Kluyveromyces lactis: one gene and its partners. The protein of the gene in region 3 binds, or shares a complex with, the protein of the main gene of each other region. Links are inferred from orthologs where the notes say so. Each region holds a gene or a part of one and is shown on either strand. Other genes may lie near its edges. The genes, in order: GET2, GET4 and GET3.

Region 1 (2,751 bases), on a different chromosome or scaffold from region 3:
TGGTAACTATGAAGAAGCGTTGAACGAAGTTTCTAAGTTTAACAAAACTGAAGATGAGGCGTTGACTTACTACAGAAATAGATCATTGATTGCATTGTCCCAGTTCAGTGAGGGTAGTGCTGATTCTGGCTCACTTGGGCCTGTATTTGAGGCTTACTATAAATTTTTAAGCAAACCTACAGGCTCAATCACTGCACTAGAACAAACCGTTGAAAAGGCGGGCAGATCTCCATTTGCATTGAACTTATTAGCAAGTGCATTGACTATAAAGGGCGAGTTTAAAACTGCTTTGGAGGTTGCCGTTGAAGGAATTGACTCCGATGAAACAAGAGGAACCCCGGAACTACTGTTAACGGCCATCCAAATAACTTTGTTGGATAATCAACCAACCATTGCCTCGACTATGTTTGAAAATTTCCAAGCACTTCAGGAGCAATCGAACGACGATGAAATAATTTTGAATCTTGCAGAGTCATACATCAACTTCAACCAGGGTAAAGAGATCACTGGATCCAATTTCTATTTCTTTGAAGAGTTGTCTCAAACTTTCCCAAGTTGGAAGACTCAATTAGGCCTATTGAATTTACACCTCCAACAATCGCATTTGCCTGAATCCAAAGCAATCATCGACCTCTTAGAAAGCGAGTTCTACGATATCAAACAAGAAGCACAAACGTACAAGCCTGATCTACTTGCAAATAAGATTACGTACACCATCTTATCTGGTGGAAATGCAAACGAATTGAGATCGGAATTGCAACAATTGAAACCATCTCACCCACTATGTGTTGCCGACCTTGAAAATAACAAGACTTTCGATCAAATTGTGGCAAAGTACACAGCCTAAATCTATATATATCAAATAGATCTTGAGTAGCAAATAGTATTGGTATTGGCGATACTTTCCGGGTAACATTGTTCTTTTTCCCATCAATTTCGTGGGAACTGTCAAGATAAAGCGGATTGATCAAACATCCTATACAATGTGAAGGGTTAGTTTTGAAACCAGTCACTCGGTATCGTTTTACAAGGCACCTGCGTTGTATTTAGTTCGAATATTCAGGGGAGTTGATCTTCTTATTTTGATTGTCGATCTAATTCTACTTTAGTTTCCCCCGAATTGAGCTGTAATTCACACAGAATTTGGAGTTTACAAGATGGCTACTGAATTGTCTGATGCTGAGAAACGTAAATTGTTGAGGGAAAGAAGGCAACAGAAGTTTTCCAACGGAGGTGCTTCCAGCAGGTTGAACAAGATCACTGGTCAACAGCAGAATAGCTTTTTGTCTTCAACATCTGTTCTTGATGAGCCAAAAGTTACTCCGTCAGGTAACAAGAAATCATCCAATGTGAGTGACGAAGAAGTTGAAAAGTCTACCAAAGAGATTCAAGATTTACTTTCTAGTATTCCCGGTAACAAGGACAATTCTGAAACTGATGCCGCTGAAACGAATCCTGAGGTTGCCCTTTTCCAACAGTTGCTTAAGATGCAACAACAAGGTGGAGGATTCCAAAATGGATCACCAGATGCCAGTACACCGGACCTTTTCAGTTCTTTGCTAAACAACGATACGAATACTACTGCTTCTGCTACACAGATGCTCCCTAATTTTGTTGATGAGAAAGTCTTGAAGTATTACAAGTTCAAAGTGTCCAAATTGAAATCCTACATCATTTTAATAAAATGGGCTCTTCTTGCACCATACGTCTACTTTATCATGCATCCCAATCCCACTGTTCTTCAAGCTTCCAACTTGTTATCCCAAATAGTGGAAAGATCGAACTTCTTCTCCATCTTTACCGGACTAGAAATAGTATTCATCTCTATCTACTATCAAATGTTGAAGAAACTTCAAAGAGATAACAATGTTACGGCCACCCAAAACGCAGGAGGCATTTTGAAGTATCTGACAATGATACCAGAAGGCATTTTACCTATTAGGAACATTCAAGGAAAGATCGGTCTTGCATTAGAGTATTTTGACGTAGCGTCAATGTACGTGACAGATATATGCTTTGTTCTTGTGTTATTCGGTGTCATGAAATATTATCATTCGTCATTCCCTATTTCAGTTCCAATAGAACCACCGATTGCAGGGATTCAATAGAAAAGTATCTTTTGGTTGTGAAAATGGAAACTCGTTCATTAACGATCAAAACTATATAATTCTAATTATCAATTGTTTATTCCCTTAAACATGAATATGTGTTGTACTTCCACTTAAAAGAACGCTTTAGTATGTTTTCATTTCATTCATAGAACTATTTAAAGCCTACTTATATCATACACAAAAGAGCAAAGCACTACACCAAGACGAAATGCTTATTTTGGTGGTTGGTAAAGGGCACACAACTTGTTACCATCGACGTCACGAACGTAAGACAAGAACAAGCCCGATGGACGGTAACCAGGTGCATCCTCGATAGAAGTACCGCCGTTAGCAACTGCAACATCGTGGAACTTTGTAACTTCTTCTTCAGAGTCACATTTGAAACCAATGGTATAACCGTTACCTGGAGTGGCAGCTTGGTCATTAATTGGTTGAGTGACTAAAAGGAAAAAGTCGCCTTTAGCATAGAACAACCTCTTGTGTCCATTTCCATCACTGTCATCCTGTGCGGGAGCAACACCAATGACGCCAAGAACGGCATCGTAGAATTTTCTTGCTTTCTCAAGATCATTGGACCCAAAGGTAACGTGGCTGAACATGATTGCGGTATATGAGATTGTTTGATTCTCACTGAAGCTAC
Region 2 (2,849 bases), on a different chromosome or scaffold from region 3:
TTTCCCATCCAAGGAGTCAGTGACCTGTGATTGATAGTCATTCAAAAATTTGTTGTATGCTGCTGCTGCAATCTCGTCGGTTTTGAATCTAGCTACGAGAATCTGCTGGGTCGGCAAATCAAGATCTTTGTTATTCTCAATTTGTTCCCAGCAGTTTTCTGCATAAAGAGACCATCCATCCAATGGCAAGTGAGTATGGTATTCATCTTTGAAGAAAGAGGCATCTTGGTCAACGAACAAGTCACCCAAACTCTTCACATCATTATCAAACTGTTCAGGTTGGAAGACCTTGTGGCCCAAACCGAAGAAATTTGGAACGAAAAAATCATGGAAAGATGTATCTTCACAACCTTCAGGCTTACTTAGCTGTGACCACATTTTTTCTAATTCCAGGACAAGACTGGCTTCTAAACTTTCCAATGGTGTTTGGCCGGTAAAATCTCTAATGACAAACAGCAATGCTACCTTGTGACGATTTTCATTCTTGCCAAATAACGAAAGATTCACCTCGAAAACCGTTTTCAACAACCCCATGTTATTCCCCTGGTATAGCCCGACCTGGTTTTCCCACATATTCACGATTAGAACCTCGGACACTGATAATGCAAATAGAGCAGCTTTCCTTTCAAAGTCTTGATCCTCACCTCTCTCCGCACCATCCGAACCTTCGACATCCAAAACAAAGAAATCAGGAATGGATTGGTTGGCAGCTCCAGAGCTGTATATATTGGCAGAATGGGATAACCAAATACCTCTAGTAGTCTGTTGTCGTTTAACCTGTGCATCCATGGTATCGAATTTTGTATCGAACAATTTATTCAATAACGTCGATTTACCACTTGATTGCGATCCAAAAACAGATATGACATGATACTTTACTCCAACATTTTTATCCCCAAGGCACTTCGTGAAATAGTTCAATGTCGAGGGATTGAATTGTTTGTTCTCATCGATGAGCTGAATAGCTTCTTTGAGATCACTCATGCTACTGTTTGACAGCGTTCCCTTAATAATGTAACAAAAACGAAATGTATCACCTCACTAAGCAGATATTACTCGGTTCTAAATTGTAATTAAATCCCTTGGCAATATAGCTCAGCTGCTGCTCCAGCTGTTATTGTCCTTTACCCTATCTTTCATCAGAATAGTTAATGAACGAGTCAATTTCAATATTGGTTTTGTTGAGTTTCAATATTTTAACGGTCCGAAATTTCGCCAGGAAGAGAAAGAAAGAACATGATCATATTGTAAAGGTCCAACGAGTGAACCACAGCTTTCGTGTTTCTCAGAATCAAGTTATTTTGTACTTATCAAGAGGCCTTTTGAATCCGTTAGGCGAGTTTTTACATACCTTAATTGTTTTTTGATCGAGACACTTAGAGATGAGTGATAAATTAACGAAGACCTTACAGAGATTCAATGCGAGAATTGAAGCTGGTGATTATTATGAAGCCCATCAGACGTTAAGAACCATTGCTAATAGATATGTGCGGGCCAAAAAGTATGATGAATCGATTGATTTGATTTCTCATGCAGCCGGTGCGTTTTTGAGGTCCAAGCAAGGTGGTTCTGGTTCAGATTTGATCTTCTATCTACTTGAAGTTTACGATTTGGCATCGGTTCCATGCAATGACTCTTCGGTCTCTAGACTCATTCAATTACTCGTCCTCGTTGACGGCCAGGAACCAAATTTAAAGGATGTAGTGACAGGGATGAACAATTGGTCTGTGAAACATAGTGAATATAAGTTTGGTGACCCATACTTACATTCAGCGATCGCTACAAAATTACTTGAAGGTGGATATACATACGAAGCGGAAAGATATCTAGTGCTAGGTACTCATGACTCGATGAAGCGGTATGTGGATCTACTTTGGGACTGGTATCAGCAATCCGGTGAGGACTCCAGTTTCCCCGATTTCATATCAAGAATGATATTCAACTATTTGTTCATCTTCAATATCGAATATGCATTGGAGGGATCTAAAGAACTTTTAAAACGGTTTACCAATCACAAGACAGATGTAAAATTTGAGTTAACAGAGAAAGGCCCATATAAGATTGATTATTTCTCATCGTGGGAATCGTTGAACTTTTTACAGTTGTTAATAATCGCATGTCAAACTCAAGAAACTATTCTTTTCCAGAATCTAAAATCACAATACTCAACTCTTGCCAACAAATACAACTCTGAGCTACAATTCTTGGGCCAAGAATACTTCGGTATCAAGGTCGAGAAACCAATCAACTTCTTGCAAGATATGATGTCTGGTTTCTTTGGAGGTAAATAATAATAGTCTTCGGTATAAACATACTCTATGTTATATATAATGCTAACTTTTCTTGATGCTACTTCTATTCAGAGCCTCAATGAGCTCTGGCCTCTTGGCACGGGTCAAGTTTTCTTTGGCCTGTTCGTAGGAGAACCATTGACGGTTTCTTGTCTTCACTTCAGGATAATTGTCCTCCAATTTAACATTAATCATCTCGAAGAAATGGAATTCGGACCTGGGAGGCCATTTGTTAACAGTTTCGTCATTCGAACTCTCGAATGCTTCCAAATCTGGGTTCCAGTCCTTTGGAGGTCTCATATCCTCAATGGAACCAAGTGCTTTCACTATATCGCCTGTGGCACCAGCTTCTTCCCAGGTCTCTCTTCTTGCAGCGGACTCAAAGTCAGGTTCATCACTTTCAATACCACCCTTTGGCAACACCCATCTCTTCTTATGAGCGGATGACTGGACCATTAAGACATTCTCTCGGCTTTCATCCAGTATTATACATCCTGCAACGAGTCTAGCACCAGTGACACTTGAATACAACTGATTCTCACGTCCTACTCTTGAGGT
Region 3 (3,120 bases):
AAATCATAGCTCTGTGGTAATAGTAACAAGGCTGAAACTTACTTAAAATTCCACAACTGGGCCAACACCAACTGATCTCCAATTTGTCATATCGACATTCCAGTTCTTCCACTTAGCTAACATAACAGGGTCTGTCGTTGGATGCTGAATCTGTCTCGATGGCTCGAATTTGGATGGAGAATGTCTATCAAAGGAAGAGAATTCCACAGGGGTTAGTTGTGGTGATTGTGTTGCTCTAAGCTGCTCTACTTCTTGTCTAGACGTAGATAGCTCCTGCTGAGCGGACAGCAATTGTACAGTTTTATCATTGAGTTGAGATTTCATGATGTTTATCTGTTCTTCAAGCTCTTCTATGGAGCTTTCTTGATCTATGTTGACAAACTTCAATTGCTTTACTTGATCTTTTAGCTTTGAAACTTCTTCCTTGAGGTTTATTACTTCATCTTGGCTTTTCTGTTCTTGTATCGTCGAAAGGAAATCTTTCTCTTTATCATCATTCCCGCCAAACAATTCTTCAACTTCATCTGTACTTTTTGCCTCTATTGGTTCTTCCTCTTTTTGTTGAACTGCAAAAGCTTCTTTAGACACTTCCTCGGTTGGGTTGGGTATATCAGTTGCTTCCTTCTCGAGGACTTCCTCCTCGGAGTCTTTCTTGTTCTCCGCAGACTCTTTTTCAGACTTCTCCACAGACTCCTTTTCAAACTTCTCTTCGTTGTTGTCATTGCCCTTTGCATCAGCATTTATCTCAGCCTTTTCTTCAGCTTTTGTCTCTTCCACGATTGGTTGTTCATCTGAATGAACCGGACTCTCTGATACATTAGTATCAGTCGGTTCCAATTCAGTTTCAGTTTCAGTTTTGACTTCAGCTGCTTCAAGATCTTCCTTGTCCTTCTTCTTCTTATTCTTCTTGTTTTTATTCTTCTTCTTTAACTCTTCAACCCTTATCTTGGCTTCTTCGAGCTTTCTGGCTCTTTCTTCCTCGGGGGATAGTTCAGACATAATCAACTGTTCGAATGTGTGTACTCACTTGCATTGAAGACGCCAATTGGTTTTAATATTTAGCTCGCAATTGTTTCAGATTTGGCATTCACCATGTAAATTCTTATTTCATATGGGGCAACTTTTTTTTTTGATCTAAACGTGTCGTTATGGTTCACACATATTTAATAAGAAAGGAATCACCATCATTGAGGCAAACATCGATCAAATAATATCGTTTAATTTCACAATGTTTCAAAGCCATTTAGGTTCGAAAGAGAACAAGATTCAAGACTTTTTGAGAAGCAAACTCAAAGTATTTGTACCATGTTCTTTATTATTCGGTATGCGATTGGTAAATATCAAATTATTATCACCACCGTATATAGTGACGTGTTCTTTAAAAGAACGTAGAAGAAGTCTTCAGCAAGATATTTAGCATTTGTTGTCACTTTTAGTGGCGACATGCGTAGATAAACAGAAGTTTTACAACTAAGACGCCCTCTTATTTCAACTGTAGGAATAACAATCAGTAAGTGTGTAAACCTGAGACCAAGTAAAGCGGAAAAGTACAATGGATTTAACAGTTGAACCAGATCTAAACTCTTTGATAACTTCCTCAACACACAGATGGATATTTGTCGGTGGTAAGGGTGGTGTCGGTAAGACGACGTCATCTTGTTCGATTGCCATTCAAATGGCTTTGGCACAACCAGAGAAACAATATCTATTGATTTCTACAGATCCTGCACACAATTTAAGCGACGCCTTCGGTGAGAAGTTTGGTAAAGATGCAAGAAAAGTCACTGGGATGAACAACTTGTCATGTATGGAGATTGACCCTTCTGCCGCTTTGAAGGATATGAATGATATGGCTGTTGCCAATAATGCAACTGGATCGGGAGAGTTCAGTGATCTTTTGCAAGGTGGTGCACTATCTGAATTGACAGGATCGATTCCAGGTATTGATGAGGCACTTTCTTTCATGGAAGTGATGAAACACATCAAAAACCAAGAACAGGGTGAAGGTGACAGGTATGATACCGTTATTTTTGATACCGCACCAACAGGTCACACTCTAAGGTTTTTACAGTTACCAAGCACTCTATCTAAACTCTTGGAGAAATTCGGAGAAATCACTGCAAGATTGGGACCAATGTTGAATTCTTTGGCTGGTGCCAATAACGTCGATCTTGTTGGTAAAATGAGTGAATTGAAGTCTAATGTGGAAAAAATCAAGGAACAATTCACCAATCCTGATATGACAACTTTTGTCTGTGTTTGTATCAGTGAGTTCTTGTCTTTGTACGAAACTGAAAGATTGGTACAGGAATTGATCTCATACGATATGGACGTGAACTCCATCATTGTAAACCAGTTATTATTTGCTGAGTATGACGAAGGAGACAGCTGTAAAAGGTGCCAATCCAGATGGAAGATGCAAAAGAAGTATTTGGACCAAATTGATGAATTGTACGAAGATTTCCATATCGTTAAGATGCCATTGTGTGCAGGTGAAATTAGAGGTTTAAACAACTTGAAAAAATTCTCCCAATTCTTGAGAAAACCATACGATCCAGTTGCAGACAGCAAAGTGATTTATGAATTGGAACAACAAGACTGAAAGGAAGATAAATATGAATCATTGATACCTAGCATTACACGGCCAATCTATAATTTTTTATTATTTGTACACTAAATAATTGCAGAGCAGATTCTAAATTGAATCATTGCATCGAATTAGCCTCTATAATGTAGCATTAAACATCTACTTTAGTTGCAACATGAAAACATTATTACTTCAGGCTTCGTGATAGTAAACGAAAAGATCCGAAAGCTAAAAAAATTTTGGTAAATTGAAATGCTCCAGGGGAGGTTCGAACTCTCGACCTTCAGATTATGAGACTGACGCTCTTCCGACTGAGCTACTGAAGCAAATTTCTTGGAAAACTGAATTTTTAAAGAGTTTCATGCACTTGGGATTTGATGTACCATTGAGTCGCAGGGAATTAACTTCAAATCACTTATAAAACTCGCAACTCATTTATAACTTGAGGCATATAGAGTATGTCATATCTATTTAAGTCTCGTATTCATGATATCGGCCTCTCTTTGTGCTTTTAGTAACCATCGTTCAATCAA

The links.
Region 1: the proteins of GET3 (region 3) and GET2 are in contact, whole or in part, in a crystal structure (PDB 3ZS9), measured with the Saccharomyces cerevisiae proteins. The link is inferred for Kluyveromyces lactis from reciprocal best matches to the Saccharomyces cerevisiae genes GET3 and GET2. Residues at the interface, in NP_010183.1 of Saccharomyces cerevisiae: Val5, Ser11, Pro233, Phe246, Leu249, Tyr250, Glu253, Arg254, Ile256, Gln257, Ile260, Asp265, Val266, Asn267, Gln301, Glu304, Leu305, Tyr306, Glu307, Asp308, Phe309, His310; in NP_011006.2 of Saccharomyces cerevisiae: Lys9, Arg10, Leu13, Arg14, Arg16, Arg17, Lys20, Phe21, Ala26, Arg29, Leu30, Lys32, Ile33, Thr34, Gln36, Ala37.
Region 2: the proteins of GET3 (region 3) and GET4 are in contact, whole or in part, in a crystal structure (PDB 5BWK), measured with the Saccharomyces cerevisiae proteins. The link is inferred for Kluyveromyces lactis from reciprocal best matches to the Saccharomyces cerevisiae genes GET3 and GET4. Residues at the interface, in NP_010183.1 of Saccharomyces cerevisiae: Val5, Phe230, Pro233, Asp234, Glu253, Gln257, Ile260, Ser261, Asp263, Asp265, Val266, Asn267, Glu304, Leu305, Tyr306, Glu307, Asp308, Phe309; in NP_014807.3 of Saccharomyces cerevisiae: Ala11, Lys12, Thr16, Arg19, Lys23, Gln34, Thr35, Ile39, Arg42, Tyr43, Arg45, Ser46, Ser48, His51.

The regions. Positions count from the first base shown.
Region 1 is NC_006039.1:799,855-802,605, forward strand, and holds GET2 (GET complex subunit GET2), read left to right. Parts: upstream 1-1,157; coding exon 1,158-2,108; downstream 2,109-2,751. Other genes in the region: SEC28 (coatomer subunit epsilon), read left to right, coding at 1-847; KLLA0_C09218g (VOC family protein), read right to left, coding at 2,324-2,751. UniProt on the Saccharomyces cerevisiae protein: Required for the post-translational delivery of tail-anchored (TA) proteins to the endoplasmic reticulum.
Region 2 is NC_006042.1:1,886,938-1,889,786, reverse strand, and holds GET4 (protein GET4), read left to right. Parts: upstream 1-1,382; coding exon 1,383-2,291; downstream 2,292-2,849. Other genes in the region: dynamin-like GTPase SEY1, read right to left, coding at 1-984; polyphosphatase DDP1, read right to left, coding at 2,334-2,849. UniProt on the Saccharomyces cerevisiae protein: May play a role in insertion of tail-anchored proteins into the endoplasmic reticulum membrane.
Region 3 is NC_006041.1:143,215-146,334, forward strand, and holds GET3 (guanine nucleotide exchange factor GET3), read left to right. Parts: upstream 1-1,552; coding exon 1,553-2,602; downstream 2,603-3,120. Other genes in the region: BUG1 (Bug1p), read right to left, coding at 43-999; ATG16 (Atg16p), read right to left, coding at 3,055-3,120. UniProt on the Saccharomyces cerevisiae protein: ATPase required for the post-translational delivery of tail-anchored (TA) proteins to the endoplasmic reticulum. Recognizes and selectively binds the transmembrane domain of TA proteins in the cytosol.